Linked DNA regions of Danio rerio. The protein of the gene in region 5 purifies or fractionates together with the protein of the main gene of each other region. This does not show direct contact. Links are inferred from orthologs where the notes say so. Each region holds a gene or a part of one and is shown on either strand. Other genes may lie near its edges.

Region 1 (6,521 bases), on a different chromosome or scaffold from region 5:
CTCTTCTTCTGCTTGCGGTACAACTCCATGTATGAGTCCTCCGTAAAAATAGGCTTCACATATTTCTAAAGAAAATGGTTGAAAGACACAATATTCAGAAAACACCATTTTGAACCTGTATCTTTGAACAGATTCATCTGAACCGATTCAAAGTGTTTAATAGAGAATATTTGAAATGGGGTTTATTTGGTGTATTTAAAGAGCCTTTATTATGCCATTTTAGAAATACTACTTTTATTAATCTTATTTAATGGCTTTAATTCTAAGTAAAAAAAAAAAAAAAAAAATTCTCATAATGTCAGAAAAGCATTGACTCTTATCTCACAGTGTCTGGAATAATAGCCTCATAGGTCCGTTCTTGTTACACCCTGCCTTTCTCATAGTGTTTCCTGCTCTGATTGGTTAAATGAGCCAGTCTGTTGAGATTTGTTGACCACTTACCGACCATAATCTATGATTATTTAGCTTTTGTAATTAGCTATTTCTGCACATATGACTCTGAACTTTACATAAAGTTTAAATTTGTTTCTTTATTGCCATATCAGCAACTGGTGGCAATTTCATGTCAATATTAATATATAAAAAAACATTACATCCTCGCATGTTACATTATGTCCTTCATTATGACTTTTGTTATTTTGATTTGTTATTTTGGATGGATGGATGTGATGTTATACGTGTTATTTATGTGGAAAGCTGAATATTAACAGTTCAAACATATTACATAGCTTACTATTTTATTAGGAGAATACAAAATAAATGAATAGAAATGACAAATGTTTACACTAAAAACACTTTATTTGATTTTTAATTTAAATGAACATTACTTGAAGAGTAATACCAGGAAAAGCATAACGAGGCACTTTAAGTTTATGTTGAAATGTGTCCATACCTTGAGCGAAAGGTCTCTGCTTTTAGTCCAGACCTGCTGAATGAGGGTGGCCTGCCCGTTGCCCCCATCAAACAGATCTGCTCTGACCCGATCATACACGTACAGCAGGTAGTGAGTGTCAGCCTGAGCATACTTCAACATCTCATCTGGCAACGGCCTACAGGCATAATACATACACTTAATTCTGTCATTATGTGGTGTTCAAATTTTTATTTAAAAAAAACAACATGTACCTCTGTACAAAAATCAAACTCTAACTTGACTAAGGTTATTTTCATGAGCCTATCAGCACTCTGAATGCACATAAAAGGACCACCAAACAGGGTTATCTAAAGGCCAAAATGATTGCTATTACTTTTAGTGTGTGTTTAAAATTGAAATTAGCCAGTGGAGAGAACTATAGTGAGCTTGAAAACAATGAAAAGTGCTTTTTTTGAACCAAAAGATGCAGAAATTAAGCACTCAGCTTTGTGGAGATTATCTACAATTTTAAATGCAGCTCATAAACATCTTACTCTTTGAAAATAATAGTCTATTAATAAGATTTAAAGGCATTTTGTGCCATTAAGATTTAATAGAAACAAAGTTGCATTTTCCATTACTAGCAAAAACAGAGCTGCTGACTATATAAAAATTATCAATTTCGATTAAAAATGTAATTAACTTTCTTGTCGTTTTTAACTCAACAATATTAAGACTTAGCTGTAAAACAGTCAGGGGCCTGTTGCACCAGCAATGCGCAAGTTAAAACGTAGCCTATTTGTGACTTAAAGGGACACCAAGTTACAATTTATGCACTACTAAATATTTGTGTGTTGCACTACTGAACTTACTTTAAACATAGCGCTACGTTTCAACTAAATATTTACAGCAGCCTCCCCCTTGTTTAACAGTAGAAAAGAGACGATATTAGTTTACATAGAGGAGCTCGCGATGATAATGCAGAATGACCTCCCTCTACTCACAGCCTTCATTTCTTCCCAAATCTCACACTTTTTTTTTGTTTGTGAAAGAAGAGTTTAATTTTCTTTTAAGGAGTCTTTTGTGTTTGTTGTATCCATCAGTTGAAACAAAAACCTCATGACCGAGTCATTCTTCCTGCTCTTTTCTCTTTCATGTGAAGAATATAAAAAACTTCATGTGTATTTCGCGTGCATTCAGGTATATGCATAACCTGTTATTAATGACTGACTGTAATTTACTATAAAAATGTAATGTCATTTCATTTTCATAGAAAAGTTCTATATAGATGCATTAGTTGCCGAATTATGCAGTTTAACGATTTAAATGCTTTCTATTGGATATTACGTCATTCAATGCGACTACGCATGACTTTACAGAGAGCAAATGACCTAACTACGGTTTACCTTGAGAACAAGTGGTGCAACCAAAGTAAGAAAAAATTTAGTTGCAAACTAGCTAGTAGTTACTAAGCCCCTAGTGTGGACTTTACGTTCCAGTTTAAGAAAGATTTTTTGAACAGCTGGTGCAACTCTACCCAGTTGAATTAATGGGGTCTTAATAAGAACTATAAATGTTAGCACATTATTTTAGCTATACTGACCTCTAGAGAAATATTACAGTATCACAGGAAAATTATATTAACAGTTTCATAAAGTGTTTAATAACCCACCATATGTCTACTAAAAAAAACATCTTCACTGGACAAAATATTTAGCACTGTCTTTTTAAACTGAACTTAAACAATGTTAAAAATAGTCATAAAACATGCAAAGTTAAATGTAGTGCTAATTTATTTAATATGTTGATATACTGTTACAACAATCCTTTTATGTCCACACAAAAATATCTTAATTATTGTAACATTTGCAAATATCAAATTATGTATCAATTAATGCTTTAAGATAGAATATCATAATTCCAAGTGGAAATCATTTTTTATAAAGGTTGTTTTGGCATCTGACACATTTTGGCATCCAAACAAATCCCCATTTACAAATTAGAGAAGATACGAATAGATTTTTAAGAATTATTTTCTTGATTTGTTGACTATTTCATTTGCCATACCTAAATGCAAAAACTTATGCAATCTAAAAGTTTTTTTTTTTTTTTTTTTTTTTTTTTACATCAAACAAACAGAAACGGCGTAAACTTAGTTTCGCATAAATTACTTGCAAAAATAAAATAGGAAGTGTATCGTGCTGATCATAATGAGTTGCATGTACCGTATCCTCCAGTCTGCCAGCTGGTAGCGTTTATCAGAGCTCACGTCACAGTATACTTTCAGGAGATGATCAAGAGAGTTGCGGCCGAGGTTAAGACAGCGTGCAGCATGATGAGTGTCAAACATGTTGACCACATAAAGCCCAAAGTCCTTCTGCAGCCACTCAATATCAGAGTCGGCCCCATGAAACACCTGCAGAAACAAGGTATTCACAATATAGTGACACATTTATTATACTAAGGAGAATGAAAGTGGATGGACACTCACAATGCGGAAATTAAAGAGCACCGGCATAGGTGTTTGTGTGGAATACTGGCAAAAGTATTATCTTGATATTTTTTTTTTATAATTAAATTATGATTCATCGAATGTGTTAAATAAATGATACTTCAATTGCCAATAGGTTGCAACAAATCTCGGGCTTACTGAGTGATCATGGACTCAGATAATTTGTTCAAAATTAATCATTGAGGAATATGACAAACAATGTGGTGTTGCTCTGAGGCACCCAAATATTTAGCTCCAGGGTCTTTTGGAAACATTTTCATTAGCTACACAGAAAAATTGACAATGTTGAGCATGAAATGAACTGTTAGATAAAGTCAATATTACTTGCGATCACACTTACCAATTGGTATTACAGTATTGCTGTGAGTGTGTTATATTAAGTGAGTGCACACCGATCGATGCAATTATTCTAAACAAAAGCAACTTTTCCACTATCATTCTGAATTGTTTTTTATGCTGAACTGTTCCATTCCGTGCCAAACCGGGCCAGACAGCACGAATACGATTTCATTTTCCACTGCAACAAAGCTTTTTGAAACATTACACAAATCCCATCAGTAGCTGCCTTGCTAATGCAATGTAAACAACTACACTGCCACTTCGAAAAGCTTTCAAACAAGTCCAAAAAATTAAAGAAAAAGTTGACTTTCTAAAGTAGACTTTTGGACAGCTGACATTGCAACACGCTGTAACCATCCTTCAGGTGTTCCAGCTAATATTAAATTAACAGGCCGTCTGGGCTGTGAATTATTTCCTCGTTCAAAGAGTCTGCAATTTCGTGTTCCATGGATATAGCGGTGTTGTTATGTGTCCAGTACTAATAGATGTGGCAGCTCTTTTCCACAATGAACATCAATCTACTAAGACTAGCATATATAAAAGTAATGTGGCTTGGTAATGGATCCATATGCGCAACTCCTAACATCACAATTAAGTGGACATAAAAGGAAAGAAGAAAATAAATAGCACCAAAAAACTAAACTGTGGAAGTCAATGGTTAAAGGTTTCCAACATTTTTAAAATATCAACTTGTGTTCAGCAGAAGAAAAAACTAAAACAGGTGTCACAAGTGAAGCGTGCAAGTAAATGATGGCAGAATTTTTAGTTTTAGATGAGCTATGCCTTTAATAAACTGCTTCATCATTCATTTGAATGCTCTCTTTCCATATTCTGGCTGAAAAAAAAAACTGACTTAAAAAACACAATGCATATGGTCACCAAAAAAATTGTCTATTGCTTGTAATTCCTGATCTTTAACTGCATGTCTTTAGTAAATCCTGAAAGTTATTAATGAACAAAAAACTTTTAATGAAAACTGTCATCAACATGTACAGATCTTATAGTAACTTTAAAAAGAAAAGCGTAATATTATAAGTCCATCACCTTCACAATAGCAGGGTCTGTGAAAGTCTCGTTTAAGATGTACATCTCGCTGCGTAGCTCTAGCGTGTCTATGATGAAATCCTCCTCTCGTGTGGAAATCTGCATCAAACATGTGATTCCCAGAAAGCTTCTGTAGGAATGATGCTGTGGACAAAGAATTTGGGCAAATTAAAAAAGAACAAGTAATCCAGAAGACTAAACAGCATCATAGAAATTTCCCATACCTCCAGATCCACAGCGAACTCAGTGGTCTTGGCCAATTTCTCATTCAAAGCAACGAGGTCTTCTAAAGTACTGATAAACTGACAAGGGGTTTCGTCAATAGGTTTATACATCTAAAACACAAAGAAAACACAATTATTTCACTGCAAACAAAAATGCTTTTTTGCCTTGTTTCTAGTTCAAATATCTAAAAACGATTAAACCAAGAAGCATTTTCAAGACAAGTAAAACATATTGTCTTGCTTTAAAGGGATGGTCTACTACAATATAATATTTTAAACTTTAGTTGATGTGTAATGTAACTGTGTGAGCATAAACAACATCCCTAAATGTAATATGCTCAAAGTTCAATATAAAGAAAGACATTGGCTTTTACAGAGTTAGCTTAGCAAAGTCTACAGCAAACAAAGTTTGGGGATTACAAAAAATACTTCTGGTTTAATGAGATCTTAAACCCTTTAGGTTACACACACCCCGTGCAGTGAAGGGGCATGGCCAGAGGTGTTGTAATGTTATAGCGGAGAAAGCTAAAATGCTGTCCAAACACTGTTATTTCCGCAAAGCTTGTTCTGTTTCTGTGTTTAGGCTTCTAAATGACATGACACAAAGAGAGAAGTGCTTACAGTTTAATTTTAATCATGTTCCAGAGAATCATAAAAAATATATAGCTAGCATTTGACAAAGGACAGCTTCAAGAATCTCTCCCAGTTCAGTGATGGATTCGGCTTAAAACTCCTTAAAGAAACAGCTCCAGCCATAATAGCAAAAGCTATGGACTGAGCCAAAACCTGTGTTTTTATTTGTTAAAATTAATCTATTACATGCACAGTTTCTAGCGTAAACAGTACAATGTAGCAATAACATAAACAAGGATGTAAACTACGGAAAATGCTGATTGGCACTACTAACAATTTAGCTACAAATTCATATTTATCCATCAAACCGCTGTAAACACCCACAAACTTCAGCTGCGCTGCAGGGTCTCTCTATGCGGCCGCTTTCCGTGCATACTACATCTCACGAGATATGTGAACATTTCATATTACTTAAACATTCACATAATCTGAATATATATATGAAAGACAGTTTTCAGGTTTTATTTTGGAGCAGGGATGGGGTTCAGCTGTATCCTCCTGTCTGATATGGCTTACAGCTACACTGACTGACAGCATTTACACAGCACATTATGTAAGATGACCAATCAGAGCCTCTTGTGGAGAAACTATTAATATGATAGTCGTTTTCATGTTAGCAGAGTAGCAGTATATATTTTAAGTAAGATACACGAAAAAAAATTATGTGATTATCTACAAAGGAAACATGAGCACACATTGCTTTGCATCTTATGAACACAACCAAGGCTTAAATTACACTCTGGACCACTCCTTTAAGACATAATATGCCAAAATTAAGTGAACTGTTCCTTATAACAAGCAAAATAATCTGCCTATATGGGTAGCAGAAAAAAATATTATTTCAAAGCAAAAACAAAATGATTTAGCTTACGCCATTGGTGGATTCATTTGCCTGGTTTTAAGGAAAACTCACTTG
Region 2 (7,266 bases), on a different chromosome or scaffold from region 5:
TGTCGCTAATGTGTGGGGCTTTTCCCCCTCTAATAACATGTACAGCGGGAGAATGTCAATCAAAGTGTTTCTGCAGACTGTTTTTATCAAGTGTGATATTAAAAAAAAAATTAATACATTTTTAAACCTTCCAAATCTGTCAAGCTTTCACACATGCACAAACAGGGGTGTATATTGGATTTCTTGGTGTGATACAATACGATATCCACTGATGCAACATTTGCCAATATGCAAAATACAAAAAGAAATGTGTGAAATGACTTTAACTTGATTTAGTTGATATTGATTTATATATTGTTATTAAGATATTATGTGCTGCATACTGAAGAATGTTGGAAAAAAGCAGCCATTAACATCCATAGTAGGAACAAAAGATTCCATGTAAATGATAAACCATCATACCATAATGATTAAACTGACTCCACAAAATCTGCCGTGTTTTGAACTGTTGTTCCTGCTCAGTTATAATCACTAAAATAAATTCAACATTTCAGATGCGTACATTGCGATATTGATACTGAAACTACAGTTGATTCCTTCTTTATTATTATTCCCCCGTATATATTTATTCCCCAATTTCAAGATTTTTTTTAACACTTCTAAACATAATAGTTTTAATAACTCATTTCTAATAAATGATTTCTTTTATCTTTGCCATGATGACAGTAAATAATATTTTACAAGATATTTTTCAAGATACTAGTATTCAGCTTAAAGTACAATTTAAAGACTTAACTAGGTAAATTAGGCGAGTTAGGGTAATTAGACAAGTCATTACATCAGTATAACGATGTTTGTTCTGTAGCAATTGAAAAAAAATATATTGCTCTTGGGGGCTAATAATTTATTTTTTTACTTTTATTTAAGATTTTTCAATATATTTTTACAGAACAACCCCTTCCCCAACAATTTAACCCCTTACAGATGAGGGGATACATTAAAAACTTAATAATGAAATTATTAATATTATCTGAAATTATATATATATATATATATATATATATATATATATATATATATATATATATATATATATATATATATATATATATATATATATTATGTAAAAACATAAAAAAAATAAAAAAAATAAAATTATATATATATATATATATATATATATATATATATATATATATATATATATATATATATTTATATATATATATATATATTTATATATAATATACATAAAAAATAATACAAATAAATAAATAAATAAATAAATAAAAGGTATTGCAATCATAATTACTTTACAGGGGATACATTTGTAAATCAGTTACATTGTGTTGCATTGTAGTTACCTTAAATTACAGTGATGATAGGTTAAGTAACCTCTAAATATACATATCTAAATATGTCGTAATAATTTTCCACCTCTTTAGAAAAATATCAGTATTCATTAGTAGACATGCAGTCATTTGTTTCCATTATATAGACCTGTTTAAGTCTCTGAATCCACTGAGCCACCTTTGGAGAACTTTCTTCCATCCAATGTACTGTTATCATTTTTTGCAACCAGTAATAATATCCTTAGGACAAATCTTGCTTCTCCATTGAACATTTCTTTGGACAGTGCTCACAGTAAGCACATAACTGGATCGAGGGGTATTTCTATATCTAATATATTATCTATTTCTTTTTTTTTAACATTTTTCCAAATTTCTTCAATCTTAGGACAGTCCCAAAAAATGTGGGTATGATCTTCAATTTTAACAAATCTTAAAATGTTTTTTTTATTTTATTAAAAACTGCTTTTATTCTAGCCGAAATAAACCAAATAATAATAAAAAAATATATGTGAAAAATTAATTGCTCTGTTAAACATAATTTAGGAAATATTAGAAGAAAACTCACACGAGGGCTAATCATTTTTACTTCAACTGTATATATTGTGCAGTCCTAATAAGAAGACAGAACCTAAGAAAACAAAGAAAACACTATAAACTTACTGGACCATTAGCTCCTCTGCTGCTGTGAGAAAAGCATCCGTCTCCTCATGAAGTCAGTCTGACATTATGGAGATGCTGTCGGCTCAGATCCCAATGAAATAAGACGTAAACACTGTGGACTCACAGCACTGAAAGAGACAAGAGAAAACACCTCCAGTGCTTAAATACATTGAATTTCAGAGCGGCAGACAGAAGCACGTGAGTCAGTTATTACACAGCACGCTCTGTTTTTATTCACGTCCTGCTGAAGGAATGCTGGAGTGATGCTGCTGCTCTTTACAACACACTCACATGCTCCTGGACGCTTCTCAGTCACATGAGAACTGACTGACGCTTACCTAGAAGACTGCAGACACTGACAACATACACACTGTGTCACTGAGATCCACGCTTCAATATACAGTAGCTACATATTATTATTATATTAATATGATATAATATACTATAAAATATTTTATATATTACACTTTAATACATTTTCTGTGTTTTGAAAGAACATTTGTGATAAACTGTAATTTCATTCATTCATTTTCCTTCAGCTTCGTCCCTTATTTATCAGGGCTTGCCACAGCGGAATGAACCGCCAACTATTCCGGTATATGTTTTACGCAGCGGATGCCCTTCCAGCCTCAACCTAGTACTGAGAAACACACTCTCACATTCACACACACTCATACACTACGGCCAATTTAGTTTATTTAATTCTCCTATAGCGCATGTGTTTGAACTGTGGGGGAAACCAGAGCATCTGGAGGAAACCCACACTAACACCGGGAGAACATGCAAACTCCACACAGAAATGGCTTAGCTGGGACTCGAACCAGCGACCATCTTGCTGTCAGGCAACAGTGCTAACCAATGAGCCACCATGCCATCCAAACTGTAAATTTATATATATATATATATATATATATATATATATATATATATATATATATATATATATATATATATATATATATATATATATATATATACAAATAAATTTTGTTATAATAATGTATTACACTACATTTTGATTTTATGATAAAACTTTTAATGAACTGTAAATTGTAAATATAACATATAATATAATATAATATAATATAATATAATATAATATAATATAATATAACATAATATAATAAAGTACAATAATAATTTATATATATATATATATATATATATATATATATATATATATATATATATATATATATATATATATATATATATATATTTATTTATTTATTTATTTATTTATTTTTTTTTTTTGGGGTGAAATTTTTTTGTGACCTGTATTTATAACATCCTTATATTTTTATTATTTTTATATATATATATATATATATATATATATATATATATATATATATATATATATATATATATATATATATATATATATATATATATATATATATATATATATTCACAAATAGTTGTGAATGTTTCCAGAATAGAGTTCTTGCAAATTACCTCTTCAGAGATAAAAAGCAAAAAACTTGTTTTAAATATTATTTTTACATGGTTCATATTATAAATGAATGATTTTATTAATAAAACTTGAAATGGCACATGGATTGAGTGTGTTGCATCTTATAAATATTCAGATGTCTGGCTTTAGCGTTAGGATTTTATTTTCTTTTAAAAAACTTTTTTTTTCCTTTGAAACTCGAAAAATGTTTAAAACTATAGAGATTGTTAATTAATGGATTAATGAGTGATGTTCCTGTAAACAAAAAATATATATATTAGGAAATAAAAAATGTAATTAAAAAGTAATTAATTGCTAATTACATCATTGAAAATTTATTTAGATTAGATTTCTATTTAATTTGTCTGAATAATGATGTATACACATAACTTAAATTAACTTATTGAACATTATTTGTATAAAACGCAATGGAGTCATACTTCATAAATACCATGTATTTCTGTCAGTAAATAATGTATTACTTATTGTTTCTTCCGCATGTGAAGTGGTTAAACAAATAAAACTTCCATAATTGATAGTAGAACAACAACAACAACAACAACAAACTCCTGAAAAAAATCTTCTCTGAATTGATTTACAGCACTCAAGGAAAGCACATCGTGAGTAACTTTATTAAATAACCAAAAAAACTATTTTTTTCACGAAATTGGATATGTAATTACAGTTACTAGTTACTTTGTAGTGTTTTGCGCTTGTCGTCAGAGAAAGAGAAAGGAAGTAACTTATAGGAGAGTGTGTTTTTTTATGTGTGACAAAATCTGTACAACCAAGAAAACAAATGTGACTCAACGTTTAGCTACAGTATTACAGTATGTATTAATAACAATAATAATACACGTAACTTACAGCTGTTAAACGGCTTTAACGACAGTATCACTACAGGTAACGTAGAAGTCTCGTGTTTATACGATATCGCTATCAGCTGACTGTACATGACTTTTATAAATGTATATCAAGTTATTCATTCAAACCTGACAGAAAAGACTGAACTGTAATAACAGCGTAACGACAACTTTAACTGAATATTCACGTAGGTATACTCACCAATAATTTATTTTTAGCTAAATTCATCTTGTAGAAGCTCCTCAGATAAACAATAACAGTAGGGAGGATGACCGTTTTGAGAAGTACACAACAACACATTAGTGTACTGGACTCTTGCCAAACATGAATAGCACTACTTCAAATTAAAAGTCTCGTGACACGTTAAAAGGCATGTAAGCAAAGCAGGGGATTTCTCAAAGCACCTGAAAATCAATAAAGAAAAAAAGGCTCAGTAAGTGAATTAAAAAGGAAAAAAATATATATAATATATTATATATATATATATATATATAACAACGTACTAATTTTAACTAGATAGATAGATAGATAGATAGATAGATAGATAGATAGATAGATAGATAGATAGATAGATAGATAGATAGATTAGATTTTCAGACTTATCTTTAATGAAAGTTAAATTGAATAACTTTTGTTAATAACTAAATCTACCATGCATTAAACTGTATATTTGTATGTAATCTGATATGTACCCTCTCCTCCTTTTTAGTTAATATTTTTATTTATTTAAATGTTTTCTTTTCTCTTTTAATCCTTCTTGTTAACGAATGTGAAATGATTTTGTTGCACAATGAAAATAACAAAAAACTGTGCAAGTTTAAACTGACCCCCAGTCCGTTAGGTGGCGATAATGCTAGTCGCCATTAAAGATAAAGAAAAATAAATGTTTTTCGCGTGACTTTTATTTTGAAAAACAAGTGTATTGACCGTCGCTTATTTATTCTTGGCTCAACGGAGAGGTATTGATGTGTGCTTGATTACATTATAGCTCTCTTAAACAACCTAAACGAACTTCATATGTAATTTTACGTTGATTTTGTGTTTAGTAAGCTGTCTCAGGGTTTTCTTTACAACACAGGACAACAAGTGTGCGATTATAACTCGCAGACACTGAACACGTGCATAAAGCTTAATCTCCATATTGTCGCTCATGCTGAATTTGCACAGTTGTTAGAAATATATATGTATTGTACTTCTTATTAATTTGGTAACTTACTGCTTTTTAATATGTATCTGCTGTCCACAACTGAATTCTGAAGCATTTTCCCTCGTTTTCCTAACAGCCAAATATCGATTTTTAGGTAAAGTTGGGGTTATATTCGCACATTAGTTCATTTTTAACAGTCTCTACATAGTTCGCCATGTTACTTTAAATATTCGGTCTGAAATCTCATTTAAGTATGACTTCAAGTTCAAAACAACATTTGCACGATTTAACTTGGTGAACAATGTTGTATTTTGAGAGTCATTGGCTGATAATGTGATCTCCCTATTTAGAAATAGCAAATAATATTTTTCTGAAAATATATTATTAAGAAGAAAGTCTGAATGTGTGAATAAAAAAACAACTTTACCTCAATAATATTGACTACAAATCCCCAAAAATAACAAAACGGTTTAATTTAGCAGTTATGCTTAGATCCGTCATTTCAAAACGCATATTAATTACTGTTTTTTTAGGCCAAAGTTTGCAGGAATCATGAATTATCTTAAATGGTTTTTATTAATATATTCTTATGTTACCATTCAGCTGACAGACCATGGCTGATGATGCTGCAGTAGAGGATTATCCCACTGAAATCGAAGACAACCTGAATGATTTCGACTCTTCTTTGAGCTCTGTCCAGAATATGGTCCAGACACTGGTGTCTGTATCCAGAAGTGACCGTCTGCTTAAAGTATGTATAAAATGTTTATATGAAAAGCTGATAAATGAAAATGGCTTAACTATCATGTTTAACCTGTTTTTTACTTCATAAAGTTGGATCCTCTTGAACAAGCTAAACTGGATCTGATGTCGGCATACGCCCTCAACTCAATGTTCTGGAGTAAGGTTCTACACCCTCTTTTATTTGTCTTGTAAAATTGAGGTTAGCATGATATGACAAGTTTCACTTTTTCTTTCTAGTGTATCTTGTGACACAAGGAGTCAATCCGAAAGACCATCCAATCAAACAAGAACTGGTAAGAGAATACTGTCGGTTTACTTCAAACGTTTTTTTTCTGTGACAATGTCAGACTACAATCTCAAAGTCTATGGCGCATAACTCAAATGTAAAGTGGAACTCTATTTAAAAAAATTAGAGTTTTTAATTTTTAAATTAGTGGCTTAGTGGTTAACATTGTCGCCTCACAGCAAGTAAGTCGCTGGTTCGAGTCCCGGCTGGACCAGTTGGCATTTCTGTGTGGAGTTTGTATGTTCTCCCTGTGTTGGCGTGGGTTTTCTCTGGGTGCTCTGGTTTCTCCGAGTCCAAACACATGCAAACTTTTTACGTACAGATATAGTAAAGATCCAGGTTCCCTCTCATCAAATATTTATTACATCACAGATTTATACGTTTACATATTATACATGTATTTAAACATTTATTATTATATACGTTAGCTCCCTTATATCGCTTAACGGTTTAAAACCAAGAGCATACGCTATGATAAAGGTACATTTCGCACAAATGTAAACAGCCTTTCCTAAACCATGCTAACGTATGGACAGTCACCCACATTCGTAAATATAAACGCAATTTTTGTGGAAAAACGTATATCCTTTATTACGTTTAGAGTGTGGAGCGATAGATGTCGGTCCACGAGACAATAAACAGCCGCTGTAAATGGTAAATGTTGGCAAAGTTTTCAAAGAGGTAGTGAAAACTGTAGCGCATCTGACTCTATTGCTCCTGCCGGAAGTAAGGATACGCAACTATCGCCCAACCGGATGTGCGTGCTACCGTCCGTGAAAAAGGCCTATAGGTAAATCGAATAAACTAAATTGGTCGT
Region 3 (7,133 bases), on a different chromosome or scaffold from region 5:
AATCCCCCCTTCCACCCCTACTCCTCCTCCATCCTAAATAGGCGGCACGGCGGCCCAGTGGTTAGCACTGTTGCCTCACAGCAAGAATGTCACTGGTTCTAGTCCTAACCAAGCCAGTTGATGTGTCTGTGCGGAGTTTGCATGCTCTCCCTGTCCTTGCTCGGGTTCCCCCCGGGTTCCAACGTTTCCTTCCACCACCAAAAAACTTACGACTTGAGTTAATTGCCAAATCCAAATCAGCATCATAGACATGCTCCTAGTAAGTAGTTATCTCTTAAGAGCACTCACTATCTGTTCATGAGCTACTACAGCAGGGGAGTTCTCCACATCTACCTGAGCTCAAACTCTCCTCTCGCCCTGCAAAAGGGACAGAGCCCCAGGCTCGAGGATCTTATGAAATCAGCGATCTCTCCTGGGACAGCAAGCTGTCGGGGGAGCTGCCCTCTCTGTTCTGCCGCCCTAGACGTGGATATAAGTGAGGGCGCGGGTGGTGAGGGTAGTGTCGCGGACGCCGCCCTAGAAGCAGATATAAGTGACGCCCTCTGTATTCTGCCGCCCTAGGCGGCTGCCTAGGTCGCCTCTATGGACGCGTCAGCAATGTTTCACATTGTCAACAGCCCAAGATTTTCGCTGCTGGCACCACTGAAACTGACGTTTGGCATTGGCACAAGTGACCAAAGGTTTATCTATAGCAGCTGGCTATGTATGCTGACTCTGTGGAGCTCCAGACCAACAGTTTTGGTGGAAACAGGAGAGTTGAGCTGCACATTTAGTTCTGCAGGGTTGGGCAGCTGTGCTCTGATGTTTTTTGTTTTTCTACATTTCAGTCTGGGTAAAAATTCATCGTCTCTTTTTCCAAATGTGTCCTGCAGGTGTACCAGGTTGTGGTTATTCGCTCGGGTAGTTACGACTGTGAGCGCGTGGCTATCGAGCGCCGCTATTCAGACTTCCTCCACCTCCATCAGGAGCTCCTGTCCGACTTCAGCGAGGAACTTGAGGACGTTGTGTTTCCCAAAAAGAAGATGACCCGAAACTTCTCTGAGGAGATCATCGCTGAGCGTCGCGTAGCTCTGAGAGACTATCTGACCCAGCTCTACTCCCTCCGCTTTGTCAGGAAATCCCAAGCGTTTCAATCCTTCTTCACTCATCAGGAACTGAAATCTGCATATGATCTCCTGAGGGGGGGACGCTTCTCCCGGGCCCTCGAGGGCCTCCAGAAGGTGTTGGTGCTTCAGGAGAAACTCTCCTCTCATGATGCTACGTTAGTGATTCCGACATTGTGCGCCATATTGGTTTGCCAAAGGGATCTAGAGGACTTCGAGGCTGCCTTCGAAACTGGCAGAAAAGCTTTGCCCACAGTGAGGAGATATGAGCTGCGAAAGCATCACGGGCCCCTGCTGGAGGCTCTGGTTGATTTGGGGTTCAGTCTGGAGCTGCCGGTGGCTCAGCTACAGGACGAGCTGATCAGAGTTAATGACTCTCCATGTGGGAAAGAGACACAGATGTCTCTTAAAGAACTGGTGGTGCAAGAGTTTGTATGATTTTTTTGTGTGACTAAAATGATTATGAGGCGAGTTTCACTGCATTTATTTAATTATTTTGTTGTCAAAATGTACACAAATCTAAATTCTTTAATAACTTACCTCGAGAACCATTGATTTCTTGAATTTATGTAAAGGAAACACTGAAAGAAACACCAAGAAACTTGACTTTACCTTCAATCATTGACTTTTCGGCTTAGTCCTTTTATTAATCAGGGGTCACCACAGCTGAATGAACCGCCAACTTATCAAGCATATATTTTACGCAGTGGATGCCCTTCCAGCTGCAACCCAACACTGGAAAACATTCATACACACTCTTTCACACTTATACACTGCAGCCAATTTAGCTTACCCAATTCCCCAATTCCTGCATGTTTGGAGTGTGGGGTAAACCGGAGCACCCACAGGAAACACACGCCAACACGGGGAGAACATGCAAACTCCACACAGAAACGCCAACTGACCCGGGACTCGAACCAACGACCTTCTTGCTGTGAGGCTACCCAATCATCATATGCTGAGATTCAAATGAACCTTGAAATATTGTTTGATTGTACTCAACTGAGTGTTAGCTAAAACGTTAAATAAAAGTGGTAATTATGACGCTTGAATATACAGTATACACCATATAATTACCACATTTGTATTTCAAGCTAATTAAATTGCACTGCAAAGTGTTTTAAAGCACACAGTTGAATTTAAAAACGTGAAATAAATATAAAACAGTGCTTTAGTTCAGCTAAAGTAATACAAATGTGCTTAAAGGGGCCTTAAAATATATAATATTATAATATATATTAAATTATTTTAGAACAAACATATATTAACCCAATATTTGACTATAATGTGGTGAAAATAACTGTTAGTTACGCTATTACACGACAATAAATATGAATAAAACAACTTAATGCTATAACTAATGTCTGTATTTACAAAAATCCTCAGTAAGAAAATAAATAGCAACTTTTAAGTCGTTTACAGTTGTTATTTGCCAGTAATGAACTGTAACAAGCGAAGTTTGTACACAGTAAAGTAAAAACTCACCTCAGTAATGACTCCTTTCAGTGATTGAAGACGAACTGGCGTGTTTAATTAGGTAAATTTAACCATACAGGAAAGGGTTAATGCGCCACTTCAGACGAAAGCAATAAATTGTCGATACATTCGACAAAATTGTATATAGCAAATCAAATTAAAGTAAACGATACCATATAATACAGACTAACATTAACTTAAACGCTTTATTATGCGATTATACTTCAAACATAAGTAATAAATCTGAAATTATTGTCAGTGGATGTGTGTTGTGCGACTCGTCGAGTCTTGCACATGTTGCTAGAGCGCATGCGCAGAGTTCATGCGGACTGCTATTTATTTTAGCAGCTCGTGCTACGCACAGTAATGCTGCCAGTGTGGAAGACATAACTGTCAGAAAAGCTCGCTTTATCTCTCTTCATTCACTTAAAAACGTGTAGTGTTAGTTCTGATTTGAAATGGCGAACGATGGTGGAGCGAAGCTGTCTAAAAACCTCCTGCGGATGAAGGTAAATAATGTTAGCCGACTCTCCCAGTGTCGGAGGAATATGATGAGCTCGTGATTGGGATCGTACTAAAATGTCCTCGTGTTTGAGGTCGGTTTTGTTTTGATATGAACTGAATGCTGTAGATCACTCGCTGCAGAACACGTGACTGATAGACAACAGTCTGTCTCTGTGTGTGTCTGTTCATCTGTGTCTCTGTCCATTATTTTATCCGCCATATTGTATATCCCATTCGTTCTGTCCATTTTTTTCATCCCTCTGTCTTTATACTTGTCTGTCTTACCATCTGCCTTGTTGTCTTACTTTTCATGTTTGTTTACCTCGTCCTTTGGTCTTTCAATAAATCTCTATTTCCATCTTATTTTTTTTATCTGTCTCTCTTTCTGTCCATCTTTTCTTCCATCTGTCTTGTCATTTGGTCTGTTCTTGTCTTTCTGTCTGCCCATCATTTTTATCTACCTCCATGTGTCATTTTATGTCAACGTCTTTCTTCTGTTTATCTGTCTGTCTATCTTTTAATCTGTTTTTCATCTGTCTGATAATCTGTTTTTGTCTGCGTCCATCTGCTTGTCATTTGGTGTCTGCATCTTTTTTCCATCTGTCTGTCCATCTTCTCATCTGTCTGTCTGTAGTTCATGCAGAGAGGATTGGATGCGGAGGTGAAGAAGCAGCTGGATGAGGAGGAGAAGCGGATCATCAGTGATGAACACTGGTTTCTGGATCTGCCCGAGCTCAAGGCCAAAGAGTGAGACTTCAACAACTGTTTTTTTTACTCTTATCACGGTGCTTGTACACCCAATGAATGAAATAGTGTATGACAACAAATATCTGTGGAAACCCATTTCTGGTGCATAAAAAAGCCTCAATCAAAAACATCAAACCAATACCTAATTATACTAATACTCAATTAAAGGGGCAGTTCACACTGAAATTAAAATTGTCATCATTTACTGCACTTTGATTTATTCCAAATCAAAACAATTTATATTTCTTTCAGCACAAAATAAGATATTTAGAATAAAGCTGAAAACCTGTAACCAGGAAAAACAAATACTATGAAAGTCAATAGTTACCAGTTTGCAACACGCTTTAAAACATTTTCTTTAGTGCAGTTAAAAATTATTTAATCCCAAAGGTTTAGAATATTGACCAAAAGCAAGCAAACAAATAAATAAAATTCAGACATTTCCAATATGTTATATCTAGATCAATGGATCCAAAACCACCAGTAGGTGGCGACAAATACCTGACTGATTCAATAGTGTTTCTTCCCATACTGATAAACTTCCGGTGAACAGTTAATGTGACTTATTTCTAAGGGTGTCACGATCCTAAAGATTCTAAAGGCACGATTCGATTTTCGATTATGAATGATTAATTAATGACCAATTAATTATTTGTAGCCTACCGTTTAAACTACCTGACCTGCATGGTCTTTGTTTTACCCATAAACAAATCATACAGTAAATGAATAAAGGCAAGATGCACACATAATTACCTCCTGTCAATCACTTTTTCTGCGGGACTCGTGAATAGGCAGTGATCTGTGTCATTATAATGGCGTCTGTAAAAAAGACGCACAACCAACAGGAACCAGCCAACAGTGTCTGAGGTGTTCGCTAAAATGACAAAGTACAAGTGAGTGAAAGATTGAAGCAGTCCTCTGACTGCCTGGACCTGCTGTCTCGAGCGCATGGCTGTGTGTGCATCTGTGTCTGTGTGGTCACGTGATGTGCGTTTTCAGAGGTAATGAGGAAGGAGGGCTGCTCAGAAATGCTACACGCCACTGTGGATGTCAAATCGTTGTTGTTCTAAAATGCCATTTAAAAACAAAGACAGTGTAAACAGGGCCTGAGTGTGAACTTTTCGCGAGCGGATTTGCAACGGGGGCGGGCGGAGGATCGCGATGCTGGTGTTGTCTATCGGACGAACCATACGTAATACGTATATAGCAGAGCTTGCAAAACTGTGTTTTTTTTTTTTGTCGACAACACGAACGTTGTCAACATAACTCACTGGAAATCCAAAATGCTTAAACACCGGCGACTTCATTGAAAGAGGAGAGGGTTTAAGCTCTGTCGACGGGTCTCCTGCTTCTGCAGTTTAACAAGCACTTCAACAAGCCTGTTTTTTTCCCGCTTGGCAAGCCAAGCTGACGTGACATCGGGGCGTGGCAGCATCGACGATTCTATTTTGTAATTCGATAATCGAAATTGAGCATAAATTTCGATCGATTTCGATTAAGAATCGAAATCGTGACACCCCTACTTATTTCCATTCCTTTTACAGCATCTATGTTGTACTGCAAATAAAATACAATCAGTTAAATAGACCCAAGCATTTATTTAGTTGATCAAGCGCAAAACGAGATCAAAAGTTGTTTACTCGCACACGTCAGAATCAGCAGGCTAGCGCAGAAGCTCCATTTAACATACTGGGGTAAAATAAATGCTCATATTATAAAGACACGACGGGGGAAATGTAAATTAATGTAGTGTTTCTTGTACAATCTGAGACCCGCTTATATCGTATATCAATTAGGCATTGAAGATGGTTGATTTTTAAAGAAAACAGGCCTTTTTGTAACTGCATACAGTAGGACTGTGCGATAAATCGAATCACAATTTGAAATGTTGCGATTAGCTTATCACAAGAGGCTGCGATATGACATAGATTTGTATTTAATTTCCCACGCCCCGAGCAAATGCATGACTGCAGTCTGCGTGTGACAAGTCTTACAAGCCAATTAAGTGTGCACGCTTTCATCCTGCCCAATCAGAATTGCACTGCCGGATTATGGGGAACGCCCACAATAAAACAAACAAACAGATGAGTGGGATGATGGCGTCTTCCGCATTAATAGACTAAATATTATTAAAGAAAAAAACGCACGTCAGTGATATGGGAATATTTTGTTCACAGACACCAAACAAAAAAAGGTTATTTGTAAGAGCTGCCGCAGGATTGTTGCAGGCATGAGGAAATACAACCAGTACCTAAAATGTCTACAATATTAAATTGCAAATCAAATCTAAATATCTGTTAAAAAAATTTTGCAATTAAGATATTTTCCCCAAATTGCACAGCCCTAGCATACAGCGTTTGAACCAGGACACTTTAAAATGAAAGTCCTAATGCATGTACCCCATTAAAAATGATTCTAGTTCTAATGCAGTCTGACATTAGCAAATATTCGTTGCCTTATGGATATCTGATGGTTTATCAAAATGTCTCTTAAATTGACAAAATTACAAGGTATTTTTAACTTTGCCAGAAACCACATCATCGAGGAGAGAAGTTTCGTTCCCTGTGAGGATCTGGTTTACGGCAGAATGTCATTCAAAGGCTTCAATCCTGACGTGGAGGTACAGCTTTCATCCGTTTACAGCCGTTTGCTTCCGTTTTGTTAACTGTTCTCAATTATTGTGTTCACGTTATTGGAGCATAATCTGAAGAATAAGCTAAAGGCACAATATGTATGATTTTATTTGTATTAACATATTCAAAAGCCACTTGAACAGTTTATTATATCTTTATTTTTCACTCAGTCATCAAAACACACCTTTGTTTGTTGTGAATACACGCCCTCTAGTGGCTAAATTTACATACTGTGCCTTTAACAATGAGCTGAAAATGCACGTCTTGCTCTAATTATAGCCACTGATAGCCACCTGTAATCTAAAGTGGGGTTTATTCATCACAAGTCTGAATCTGTTGCAGAAATTAATGTTACTAATGAACGCACCAAGAGAGGAAGAGGATGAAGAAGAGGAGGACGAGAGCATGAACAAAATGGAAACCGATATTACGGATGAAGAGATGGCCAAAAGGTGAGCAAGGACAAATACATCTGTAATCTACACATCTGTTATATATATATACGAGGATAGTGATGAAATGAAGCGTCTAAACAATTTTACCAATTACTTCGCTAAAGCAATTCGAAACCGCACATGCTAGAAACCCCTGCTGGTCAACACTCAAACAAAAGATGCATTAGAATTGACTCCCAAACATATTAAAATTGAAAGTTTAACCTATAAATAAA
Region 4 (5,730 bases), on a different chromosome or scaffold from region 5:
TGCACTTCAGTCTGATGGTTTCTGTCAGTACAATCTGAAGGATCCAGTTCCAACAGGCTCTTACTCTTTGATCTAGAACAATACAAACATTGGCATTAACAAGCATCACATCTTACGATGTACAATCAAGTACGCTTTTAACAATTTGGTGTTTTAGTTTTACCTCTGTGACCACTCCTGCAGCGATGGTGGAGCCCACGTATCTCAGCATGAACCGCCCCAGTTCTTTATAGTCCTTATAAAGCTCCATAGCCACAGGTCTCTGTGTCTGAATCTCCACCACTGCATTCTGTCCTTTACTCAAACACCTGCACGACAGTTAAAGGGTTAGTTCATTCATTCATTTTCTTTTCAGCTTAGTCCCTTTATTAATCAAGGTGTGCCACAGCGGAATGATCAACCAACTCATCCAGCATATGTTTTACACAGTGGATGCCCTTCCAGCTGCAACCCATCACTGGGAAACACCCGTACACTTTCATTCACACACATACACTAGGGACAGCTTCCCCAATTCACCTATAGTGCATGTCTTTGGACTGTGGGGAAAACCCACGCAAACATGGGGCTCGAAGCAGCAACCTTCTTGCTGTGAGGCCACCCACTGCACCACCGTGATGCCAGTTAAAGGGTTAGTTCATTCAAAAATGTTAATTATTCCATAATTTTTTTTGGTGCATTAGTGCCACCAGCAGGACAATACTGTATATAGTCTGACTCTCTTCAAGGTGCTTCAGCATTCATTTTAACTGTGCATACATTTCACACTCAAGAGACAGAAAAGTGCAGTCCTGATGTTGCTAATGCACCAAAAACTGCACCTCAAAAGATAAAGTTTAAACAAGATGAACCTATCTGCTTTCAACTGATAACAGGAAGGTTCATAGAAAGTAAACTAGAAACATGCATTTTGTTTGAAGAAATTAAATCATGGTAGGGCTGTAACGAATTAAGGTTGACACAAAGTTCGAAACATACGTGACCTGAGCATTAACATTTTTAATTTTTTTGTAAGTTGATCCAACATTTATAACTATGGCAGAGCGATCGCCCCCAGCGTCATTCAAATTACGTGTATGAAAACAATGGCATCCCTGTAAAATATAATGATGACTGAAAAAGTTGTGGTGGGACCTACCTAAATGCTTTCTTAGGTTATTAATTAAAGGTGTTTTCTGACACTTCTTTAGCCTGCATTAATGCATTCAGTTTAAGCTGCACTATTAAATTTAAAAGATCGTGATTTTAATTCAAATCCACGCAACGTGAATGATAAATGATCTAATGCGAACAGTGAGATTTGTGATCCATTACACCACTAAATCATGGGATACATTTTAAAAAGATAAGCCCTAAATAATATAACTGTAATTTGTAATTATGGACCCTTTTTCACAAGACTGTTATGATGCATTTAACCGTCATTAGCATCTAAAATCCTCTAAAGTTTTAATATTTAATTAAAAAGAAAAGTATGTAGATTTATATGTATTATATCATCTTTGAATCAAATTACAGAAAACAAATTACCACTTGTGTGAGGCGTTTGTTATGCAGAGTGAATGGGGCAGGAGAGTAAATTTGACATTTTAGGTCTCACCGATTTTATTTCCGTTTTCTGAAAGTCTTGATAACACCATTGTTGAGTTTTTTATTTTGTTATTTCAGCAAATAGGATTGTAAAAAAATATATGTTTGCTGTACTCTCCCATTCAATGCACCTTAAGTTTACCCAACTATGACAAATTCTGCTACTGAGAAACCCGGAAATGTGAAAAGGGTCCATTGTTAAACTTCCTTACTATACCCATGCAGAATAATTGCATTGTGAATATGATGTATGAGCAGCTTGCACAAGTGCTCTGAAGTTGCTGCACTACCTGATTTGTCCAAAATTTGTCTGATGTGTTTTTTTGTTTTTGTTTTGAAACGTTTTACATTTTCATTGTTATGTAACGTGGAAGTGTAAATGCGATTTTAAAGGTACTGCGGGAAAAAAAGGTATTTCAACAAACAATGGCTTAAATGTATGTGGTTATCACACGAAAGCCCCCTTTGATAGAAAGCTTATTAATTGTGAAGACTGAAGGTGCTGGGAGTAAATACCCAGCAATCTCACCACCCTTAATCCCATGGTTGAGGTGATTCCCTTGAGCAATGCACAGAATCCTCAACTACTTCCCAGGCGTTTGTGTGTTCAAATTCTGAGTATAGTTAACCATTCTTGGCCACAAGTCACAACTTTCTGCTGCAAAAGGCATGCATGGAAAAACCAAGCGGCATGATACAAAAAAAAATACATATGTAGCGTTGGCTTCTCCACAATATGATATACATATGCACAATGTCATTTTTCTGCGCTGTTAAAAACCCTTTAAAAAGAAACTGTTCCTTAAAATCATGTAACATTTTAGATTCTAGAATCATCCGTCCACTTACTTTGGTTTTTTCTTGAGAACTTCTCCACTGCTCTTGTGTAATACACTGACTAACTTCCTAATGGTGGCCGGTTCACTTACAGTCTGATAATGCAACAGGACCTGCCAATCAGACACACACACACCAAATACACAAATATTAGCAAACACACTTGCACAAGAACCCACAAGAAACATGCAAAGATATTTATATCTAAAAAGCCTGAGAGATGAAATGTTTTCTCACGGGGAAGCCTTGAGTGATGGGAAGTTCAATATTAAAGAGGAGGATTCTTGCTCTGAATCGCGTGCAGGCTCTAATGGGCTCTTTGGGATCACAGAATACACATCCAACACTAGAGAAAGAAGCAAGAAAACATACATGATTACACAGAATCAACCGTGTCCGTAGAAAGTTTTTAATCATGTATTACGCAACATTACATAATCAAAACATTATATAACCGAACTGTTATAATATACGTTAAGGAAGGGATTGCTTTCGACGCTAGTGTTTCTACACACACTCACTTTATTTTGATGATGTCCATGCCTGTTACAGTCAGACTGACATGATCACCAGCCGCTGCCCAGTCTAATGCTTCATCATGAAGACTGATCCCTAGATAGAATTACAATCCATTAAGATTGCATTAATAAAAAAAAATAACCAAAAATGAGTGTAGCACCACTCTAGCCTTTAGCGTTACAAAATCCATCATAAATCATATTTATATTTTTTTAATCTGGTGCTCAATAAACACTTATTTAAATTTTGCATTAAGGTTTCATTAACTAATGTGAAGTATTTACTAACATGAACTAACACTGAACAACACAGAGCATTTATTAATCAACAATGCATTATTAATTCCAAATGCACACTTCTTAACATGAGTTCTAACAAACAGCTTAACAAAAAACAGCTTTATTTTCATTAACTAACATCAACAAAGATGAATGTAAGAAATGTAATGTATTGCATATTGTTTGTTTAATTGCACAAACAAAAACACCTTAATAAGCTTATTATAAAGTGTTACCAGTTTATTATTCTGGTTTTAAGATTCCAAGAGAATCTAGTTGAAATTAATATGTTAAATTCTTAAATTTAATATGTATCGATTTAAGTATTTTTTTAAGTATTGATTATTCATGATTAACTACACAGTATATTTCCTCAATTTCCAGAACAACAAAACTAAGCAATATAAAAACTACTGCAATGACTTTTTATTTAGTCCTAAAGTTTATAAAGACTGTGTCATAACGTTAGTTTTGCAATCTTAGTAGGAGAGAAATAAAAAGAAAAAAGCGAGTAACAAAATTTGTTAAAAGATTCAGTCATTATTGCGAATCTGTCTCAACTAGATTTCAGTAACTAATAACTCTTTTTTACAATAATTTTTTTATGATGATATTTGATTGATTATTTTTTCCCCCAATTTCTGTTTAATGGAGAGATTTTTTTCAACACATTTCTAAACATAATAGTTTTAATAAATCATTTCTAATAACTGATTAATTTTATCTTTGCCATGATGACAGTAAATAATATTTTACTAGATATTTTTCAAGACACTTCTATACAGCTTAAAGTGACATTTAAAGGCTTAACAAGGTTAATCAGGTTAACTAGGCAGGTTAGGGTAATTAGGCAAGTTATTGTATAATGGTGGTTTGTTCTGTAGACTATTGAGAAAAAAAATATAGCCTAAAGGGGCTAATAATTTTGTCCCAAAAATGTTTTAAAAAAATAAAAAACAGCTTTTATTCTAGCAAAAATAAAACTAATAAGACTTTCTCCAGAAGAAAAAATATTATCAGACATACAGTAAAAATTTCCGTGCTTTGTTAAGCATCATTTGGGAAATATTTAAAAAAGAAAAAAAAATTCAAAGAGGGGCTAATAATTCTGACTTCAACTGTATAATGTGTGTGAGTTTAACTATTACACCATTACAAATATTAATATAAAAAGCATTTATTTAATTCACGTTAAATTATAAAAATAAAATTGTAAAATATATATAAATATTTTAATACAAATCTTATTTTTGAATATTTATTTTATAGCACATATTTTACTAACATATATTAATTAACATATATATTAATTATTACAATCAGTTACCCATGTGCCATGTGTTACTATATTGTTCCACAGAGATGTTTAATAATATGTATCTGTTTTCAATTAGCAAAAATCAGTGTGCTAAATTAAAAAAAAAATATTTTTTATTAAGTTATTCAGTGCATTAAACAGATAAACATGTACACTGGCCATATACACTCACCGGCCACTTCCAACTGCTCGTTAATGCAAATTTTTAATCAGTCAATCACATGGCAGCAAATGATTTTGAATGTAGCATGATTGTTGTTGCCAGACGGGCTGGTCTGAGTTTTTCAGAAACTGCTGATCTACTGGGATTTTCAAGCACAACCATCTCTAGGGTTTACAGAAAATCATCTAAAAAAGAGAAAATATTCAATAAGCTGCAGTTCTGTGGGAGCAAATGCCTTGTTGATGCCAGAGGTCAGAGGAGAATGGCCAGACTGGTTCCAGCTGATAGACAGCCAACAGTAACTCAAATAACCACTTTGGGTCAACGCCATAGCCAGTGAATATTGTTGCTGACCATGTCCATCCCTTTATGACCACAGTATGTACCCATCTTACCATCATCTCAGACTGGTTTTTTGAACATGACAAGGAGTTTACTGTACTCAAATGGCCTCCTCAATCACCAGATAGTAATCCAATAGAGCACCTTAGGGACATGGTGGAATGGGAAATTCACCGCATGAATGTGCAGCCGACAAATCTGCACGAACTGTGTGATGCTATCATGCCAATATGGACCAAAATCTCTACGGAATAATTCCAGAAACCTTGTTGAATCTATGCCACAAAGGATAAAGGCAGTTCTGAGGGTAAAAAGGAATCCAACCCAGGTCCAGTAAGGTGCACCTAATAAAGTGGCCGGTGAGTGTATATTTTGCATGCTCTATGATTAACATCCATTTCTTCTTTCACACGACTGGTCTTTCACGAAAGCACCAGAGGAGGGCGCTGCTGCCTAACACCCTAAAGCAATGCATGTTTCTAGAAAGTGGAAGCTTTTGTGTTTACCTTTAACAGTGCAGGTCTCATTAGGCGGCATGGCAAGCACTTTATCTCCAGTCTGAATGTAGCCAGCCTCAATCTTTCCAGTCACACAGAACCCAGAGCCCTGATCTGAAAACAGTGAGATTCTTCAGCTCATCGCCATCAAAAAAACTGACTACAATGAATGAATAAAGGCAGAGT
Region 5 (6,333 bases):
TTCCTTTCAATTCCAAATTTACAAGACTTCAGTAATCAACAGGGTGTCTGCATGTTTCACCAGGTTAAATTTAAGACATTTTTAAAATGATTATAAATAAAAATTTTGACTTATACAGGGCTAAATGCTAAAGATTTCATTCAAATATACTTATTGAAAACAATGGTAACACTTTATACCAACTACACACTATGAACCATTTAATAAGAATTAAAAAATAGTTACTTCTTCATCTGTTAAGCATTAACTCTACATTAATAAATGTATAGGCAGTTTTATAAGTGCAGCTACAAATGCTGTGTTCTTGACTTACAACCACATTTACAATGTGCTTGTTAATTGTACTTTCATGCTTTGTTAATGATTCATTTTTCATTATTAAATTAAGTTTGCATTATTTACAAAACAGTTATTTAAGCGTAGGTTGTTTTTTAGATCACTCAGAATGAGTTAGTAAATGATAAATATTCAAATTAACATTTAGAAATCTTATTATTTAGGTATGTACTAATACTTACTTTGTACGTTAACAAATGCTTTATTAACTCAACTTCATCCAGTTTGTCGACAGCACTACCTACTGCGCCACTGCAATGCCAATCATTACAATATGAATAATAAGATATTTAAACATTGATTTAAATAATTTTTTAATCCTTTACTAACTCATTCTGAATGATCATAAAAAACCCCAACTACACTTAAATACAAACTGTTTGTAAATAATGCAATACTTCATTTAGTAATGAAAATCAACCAGTCACAAAATATCAAAGTGCAAAATTAGATATAAATAAAAGTTTAATCCATTTAATAATACAATAATAATAACTTAATAAGGTCAGGTCATTATCTTTAGCAGTAAATAAATGAAGAACTTTTAAACAAATGTTACTGTGAAGAAAATAATTACTATTTTTAATTAAAAAGTTAAAGTTTTATTGAGATTGGGATTGTATAGGTAGCTACACAGAAAAACAAAACCTTATGATTAAAGACCTACACACAATATTTCAGTAGATTTAGGCCCAATCCCAATTCTATTTTTGTACCCCTAGCCCTTCCCCTTGGCCCTTACAATCAAGGGTTAAGGAGAAGGGCTTCAAAATTTACCCTTAAGAATTGGGACAGCACTACAGCACCTGCACACGTCATTTTATGTAATCGTGATCCTGTGCTTCTTATGAGATCAGATGATCGCGACTGCTGTAGTTATTCCAGTTGTGCTATTTTTGGGTTTTTATCTTCAGGAAATCACATACATTGTCATCATAACGATCTAATGTGGCAATAAGATGGTAATATTCATCTATGTAAACTATGTAAATGGCCATATTTATCTATGTAAACACACGAAAACAACATTAACATCATAGCAGACACTGTAAAAAGCTCATTCTCAGCCACTACACTTTTCTGACAGGGTATTCGAGTGTCAGAATGTTGTGGGACTGCTGTACAGGAGTTAAGATTATGGATTATAGATTGCTAAATTTAGCAGGTTTTTTAGCTTTTTTTTTTTTAAGCGTAACTGTGAAACACGAATGCGGTTATGAAAGTATTAAAATGTGTTTGTTTGTCGTAAAAATTCGTAATAATGAAAAAAAAACTAATTTGTGGATCTCCTTACTTCCCGGTTCAGCAATACTGCCATTTTGGCTGGTGTATTCTGGGAAATTTTCTTACCCCTTGGTTTTGAGTGTGGTCCTGAAAAATCTTCATTCAAAGGGCTATTCAACCCTTCCCCTTAGCCCTACATCTTCAAGCTGAAGAGAAATAGGACAAGGGGCTAAGGAGTAGAATTGGGATTGAGCCTTTAAAATGTTTTAAGGCCTAAAATTTAGATTTTGAGATTTAAGATATTTTAAGACTCTTTAAGAGGATACTCTGGTTCAAAAGCCTGTGAGACATTTAATGTAAAAACACATGTTAATTTTGTGAACAAAAGTTAGAATGACAAGAACGTTCATAAATCAACAATTTTGAAAAATAAGGAAATAAATAATTGCAAGACTTATACGCCACAATTATTATAATTTTTTTCTTAAAATTCAAACAAAAAATGCTTTAATTTTTGAAGTCATACCTTTTTCCTTAGGACTGTGAAAGGCAAAAAATTATAAACAAATCTTACAAATCAGAGTTCCCTTTTTATGTTGTCATTTTTCCTAATTGTAATAAACCTTAAAATTGAGAGCATTTTTTTTTATTTAGTTTGTTTCAAAATTTAAAAAAGATTTTAAATTTAAATTTCACAACTCTTTGTTTTTGGTATAATTTGTGAAAAAAAAAAACAATTGTATAAGTTAAAGACAAACAAAATAATTAATTATGATTAATTTTCACTAATAAATGATTATTATTAATGTATAAGAATTATTTTATGTATTTTTTAAATAAAGTACAATAATTGAGTGTATAATAAAAATATAAGTACATGAAAAGACACTGCAAACTCGAGTAAAAAAAATCCCAACGCATATTTTATTGCATCTTTGAATATCGCCGCTTGACAGAATCCCTATAAAACTGGAAGATTTGCTCCGAGGCCTTCTGACTGATAGCGATGCACTGCTGGAGCTGTGTAGGAAGAAAACACATTTATGTCACTGCCTTGCAGAGAATTCCAGCAGGTTATGAAACATACACAAGTACCTATGTATCATCCACACAAACAGAGCAATGAATCACACACTGGAGAATCAAACACTCACCTCCTGCACTGAAAAAGAGCCTGTAGTCGATGACATCAAAACATTGCGCTCATTGCTATCAATGGCAAATGTTAACAGCGCTCGACTTTCCTGGAAAAGAAAGCAAAAAAGACACAGATCAAAGGTTTAGTTTACTCGGGATGGTTCGTGTCGGCTCAAGGGAACAGGAAGTGAAGTGTACCTTTTCCTGTCGAGCTGTGGGGTCAGTGATTATCTGGCCCTCTTTGCTAATGGCGCAGGTCACACTACAGAAAAGGCGGCTCATGGGCAGCCCGGCATCCATTAGAGCCATACAGGCAGCGTTTAGACAACACGACAGCAGCTGACGGTTAGATAAGGACTCATGGTGTAGGGACACAGTGTGAATGAAAGAAAACGGGACAGAGAAAACAAACAATATTAATGCACACTAAGAATCTGGGGTCAGTCTCTGAAGTTGCTTTATTCATTTTCCTTCAGCTTAGTGTCTATTTCAGAGGTCGCTATAGAGGAATGAACCACCAACCATTTCAGCATATGTTTTACACAGCAGATGCCCTTCCAGCTGTAACCCAGTATTGGAAAACACCCACACACACTCATTCACACTCATACACTACGGCCAATTTAGTTTATTAAATTCACCTTTAGCGCATGTCTTTGAACTGTGAGGGAAACCAGAGCACCCAGAGGAAACCCACACAAACACAGGGTGAACATGCCAACATACATGAATGCCAACTGGTCCAGCCAGGACTCAAACAACCAACCTTATAGCAATAGTGCAAAATAATAATACAAATTAACAGTGTAGGGTAAAGTTTCTTATTACTGTAAAGTAATAAATCTCATTTGTTTTTAAGGAAAGTAATGTAGTACAATTTTTAAGAATACTCTGTAAAATAGTAAATCACGTAATTTCCATTTTCTTTTACATATTTATTTATTTGCAGTTGGAAGGACATCCGCTGCGTAAACACATGCTGGATAAGTTGGCAGTTCATTTCGCTGTGGCGACCCCAGATTAATAAAGGGACTAAGCTTAAAAGAAAATGAATAAATGAAATAATATTTATTTATTATGTTTTGATAATTTAGTTGCATGTTAGCTACAAAGAAATATATACATTAACATTAACTAATACATTTTTAAATTTTTTGGTAGTTTAACTAAAATATAAAACCGATTGTTGAATAATTGTTTTATTGTTATTTATTTTTTTTTACAAAAACTGGTATTTAATACTAAAATCATGTATAAGTACATACCGTACATACAGTATCCTTATCATTACTTACCAACCACCACATTCACCATTTATTTGTGTGTGTGTGTGTGTGTGTGTATATATATATATATGCACTAAGAATTAGTGCCTGTTTTTGATTAATGACATTTTTGGAAATAGTTAAAACTTTAAACCAATTTATTCAAATCTTCAATCTTTTGTACTCTATATTGCCACCTTTTTTTATTTAATGCATTTGTTGTAATATCCATTCATTTTTTTGTCGGCTTAGTCCCTTTATTAATCCATGATCGCGACAGCGGAATGAACCGCCAAACTTATCCAGCATGTTTTTTCACGCAGCGGATGCCCTTCCAGCTGCAACCTATCTTTGGGAAACATCCACACACACTCATACACAACGGACAGTTTAGCCCACCCAACTCACCTGTGCCCCCTCTTCATTTTGCATTTATAAAAAACTGTTTTGCTGGTGTTGGCAGCATAAACCCTTTAGATAGGTCTGTTCAAAAAAACCTTTTCTAGCTTTTATATGGAGTTTATTGAAGCATAACAGCAAATTATAGTAAGGGTGCATAAACACACCATGTTTGCTATGTTTTGAGAGCTGAGATGCTTATTTTAATTTTCTCAGACATATCAAGGTAAGTACGCAAAGGTGCTCTTACACTTGGTTACACTCACACAATACTCTATATAAAAGCCAGAAACTAATGCTTTTTTTACACTGCAACTAATGGCCAACAGTAAAAATTACTAATTGTACCTCTTCTCAAAAGAGAAAAACCACCACCAATCAAGAATGCATAACAATATGGTTTCATGACTTTGCAATCAAAAAAATGTCATTATAATGGAAATCAATAGGGCAAAAACAGCCACTAACATAACGAAAAGGACCAGTGTAGTAAACTTGCCCTGCTGAGTCTATTGTTGAGGTTTTTTTTTTTTTTTTTTTTTAAATTGCAAAAATTTGTCAAAATAAAATGTCACCAAAATCATTCCGCTTGCTGAAACAAGTTGTGGCCAAATTAAGACTCAAAATAACCCCAGAGTGGATGAAAACATTCCTAACAAGCGTTAAAACATAATAAAATTGAAGAGTATTAAAAGAAGCCAATTATTCAAATCTTCAATTTTTTTGTACGTTTAGTCTATATTGCCACTTTTTTCGTTTTAATACATTCATTGTAATAAAACATACTAATCTTTAATACTCAACCCTAAATATTCAAAACAAACTCCTCCCTTCAACGGTAAGTGACTAAAAAGTTCAAACAATAAAACCACGGACACATCATATTTGCCCCCTCTTCATTTTGCATTTATAAAGAAGAGTTTTGCTGGTGTTGAGGATACAGATCCATCATCGTGGACGACCTGCAGGATGACCGTGAGAGAAGAGCGTGGATGAAGGGTCAACAGAAGGGCAGCTTCACAAGTCTCACGGACACACTGCTCTCTCGCTCGCTCGCGGACACCTAACACAACACATCGCACCACAGTATGAGGAAGTTTAAAAAAATACTGTACCAGACTGACACCTAATGCTGAAACATGGCTGTGCAGGCCATGCAATTATAACTATGTTTACTATTCTAGTATGAGCTGTATATGTGTATTATTAAACATTAATAATAATAATAATTAGTAATAATAAAACACTGACTAAATAAAAACAATTTACATAAACGACACACATTTTTTATGGCATAACATTTTCTTCCTGACATGTAGTTTTAAGACTCCCTTTAAACAGTTTATACTCATGTAGGTAATTGTTTCTTATATTATATTAAATAAAAAAGTGACAAACAATTCATATTTATGTTGCATTAGTCTGTGTTATATTGGGTGTAATTAGTAACTAGTAACAAAGTGGCTAGTGTTTGGTCTGGGACATATTAGGTGTAATTAATTACAAAGTAACGTGTTACTGTAATTACTTTTGTACTGAAAATGTAAAGTAGTAGGTTACTTTTCATGGATGGGTAATTTAATTGCAGTTACTTCTAACATACTTGCCTTAAATACTGTAAATAAGTCCAACAGTTTTGAATAAATCAATTCAAAAAAGCAGAAGGAAATGTGTCCAACAACTTCACATACTTAAGAAACAATGAAATGTTTTAGAAATGCATGCCAATATATCAAAATATTAGTCATCTGCATACAGTACAAGCTACTTTTTACTCAGTTAAATTCATTGAACTGAATATAGATTGGATCCATTCAAAATTCAAATGTCTAACATTTTAAGAGAGGCACGTTTTAAGACAAAAAAAAGCAATATGACAATGTTCAAAGGTGATTAGGGGATTTTCTTTTAATAACACTAAACAATTTTGCTATAATAGAACTTTCCTGAAATAACCGAAAAAAGCCAGTGC

The links.
Region 1: the proteins of exosc5 (region 5) and exosc10 purify together in Homo sapiens (co-immunoprecipitation; 8 studies listed by BioGRID and IntAct, with this or other methods). This does not show direct contact. The link is inferred for Danio rerio from reciprocal best matches to the Homo sapiens genes EXOSC5 and EXOSC10.
Region 2: the proteins of exosc5 (region 5) and c1d purify together in Homo sapiens (affinity purification with mass spectrometry; 4 studies listed by BioGRID and IntAct, counting the BioPlex papers as one, with this or other methods). This does not show direct contact. The link is inferred for Danio rerio from reciprocal best matches to the Homo sapiens genes EXOSC5 and C1D.
Region 3: the proteins of exosc5 (region 5) and mphosph6 purify together in Homo sapiens (affinity purification with mass spectrometry; 6 studies listed by BioGRID and IntAct, with this or other methods). This does not show direct contact. The link is inferred for Danio rerio from reciprocal best matches to the Homo sapiens genes EXOSC5 and MPHOSPH6.
Region 4: the proteins of exosc5 (region 5) and hbs1l purify together in Homo sapiens (affinity purification with mass spectrometry; 3 studies listed by BioGRID and IntAct, with this or other methods). This does not show direct contact. The link is inferred for Danio rerio from reciprocal best matches to the Homo sapiens genes EXOSC5 and HBS1L.

Annotation. Positions count from the first base shown.
Region 1 is NC_133198.1:16,322,569-16,329,089, reverse strand, and holds part of exosc10 (exosome complex component 10), read right to left. Parts: intron 5,084-6,521; coding exon 4,973-5,083; intron 4,893-4,972; coding exon 4,749-4,892; intron 3,270-4,748; coding exon 3,079-3,269; intron 1,050-3,078; coding exon 893-1,049; intron 66-892; coding exon 1-65. UniProt on the Homo sapiens protein: Catalytic component of the RNA exosome complex which has 3'->5' exoribonuclease activity and participates in a multitude of cellular RNA processing and degradation events.
Region 2 is NC_133188.1:5,048,024-5,055,289, forward strand, and holds the start of c1d (nuclear nucleic acid-binding protein C1D), read left to right. Parts: upstream 1-3,507; 5' UTR 3,508-4,028; intron 4,029-4,083; exon of another isoform or gene 4,084-4,311; intron 4,312-4,473; exon of another isoform or gene 4,474-4,560; intron 4,561-5,200; exon of another isoform or gene 5,201-5,573; intron 5,574-6,022; 5' UTR 6,023-6,032; coding exon 6,033-6,170; intron 6,171-6,253; coding exon 6,254-6,320; intron 6,321-6,400; coding exon 6,401-6,456; intron 6,457-7,266. UniProt on the Homo sapiens protein: Plays a role in the recruitment of the RNA exosome complex to pre-rRNA to mediate the 3'-5' end processing of the 5.8S rRNA; this function may include MPHOSPH6.
Region 3 is NC_133200.1:38,540,404-38,547,536, reverse strand, and holds the start of mphosph6 (M-phase phosphoprotein 6), read left to right. Parts: upstream 1-2,944; 5' UTR 2,945-3,037; coding exon 3,038-3,088; intron 3,089-3,717; coding exon 3,718-3,830; exon of another isoform or gene 3,831-5,068; intron 5,069-6,260; exon of another isoform or gene 6,261-6,312; coding exon of another isoform or gene 6,313-6,359; coding exon 6,360-6,450; intron 6,451-6,805; coding exon 6,806-6,915; intron 6,916-7,133. Other genes in the region: snx20 (sorting nexin-20), read left to right, coding at 873-1,541. UniProt on the Homo sapiens protein: RNA-binding protein that associates with the RNA exosome complex. Involved in the 3'-processing of the 7S pre-RNA to the mature 5.8S rRNA and play a role in recruiting the RNA exosome complex to pre-rRNA; this function may include C1D.
Region 4 is NC_133198.1:34,711,213-34,716,942, forward strand, and holds part of hbs1l (HBS1-like protein), read right to left. Parts: intron 5,659-5,730; coding exon 5,554-5,658; intron 3,040-5,553; coding exon 2,949-3,039; intron 2,774-2,948; coding exon 2,665-2,773; intron 2,541-2,664; coding exon 2,440-2,540; intron 309-2,439; coding exon 164-308; intron 73-163; coding exon 61-72; 3' UTR 1-60. UniProt on the Homo sapiens protein: GTPase component of the Pelota-HBS1L complex, a complex that recognizes stalled ribosomes and triggers the No-Go Decay (NGD) pathway.
Region 5 is NC_133193.1:38,978,372-38,984,704, forward strand, and holds the end of exosc5 (exosome complex component RRP46), read right to left. Parts: intron 5,425-6,333; coding exon 5,303-5,424; intron 3,037-5,302; coding exon 2,896-3,036; intron 2,805-2,895; coding exon 2,715-2,804; intron 2,581-2,714; coding exon 2,485-2,580; 3' UTR 2,458-2,484; downstream 1-2,457. UniProt on the Homo sapiens protein: Non-catalytic component of the RNA exosome complex which has 3'->5' exoribonuclease activity and participates in a multitude of cellular RNA processing and degradation events.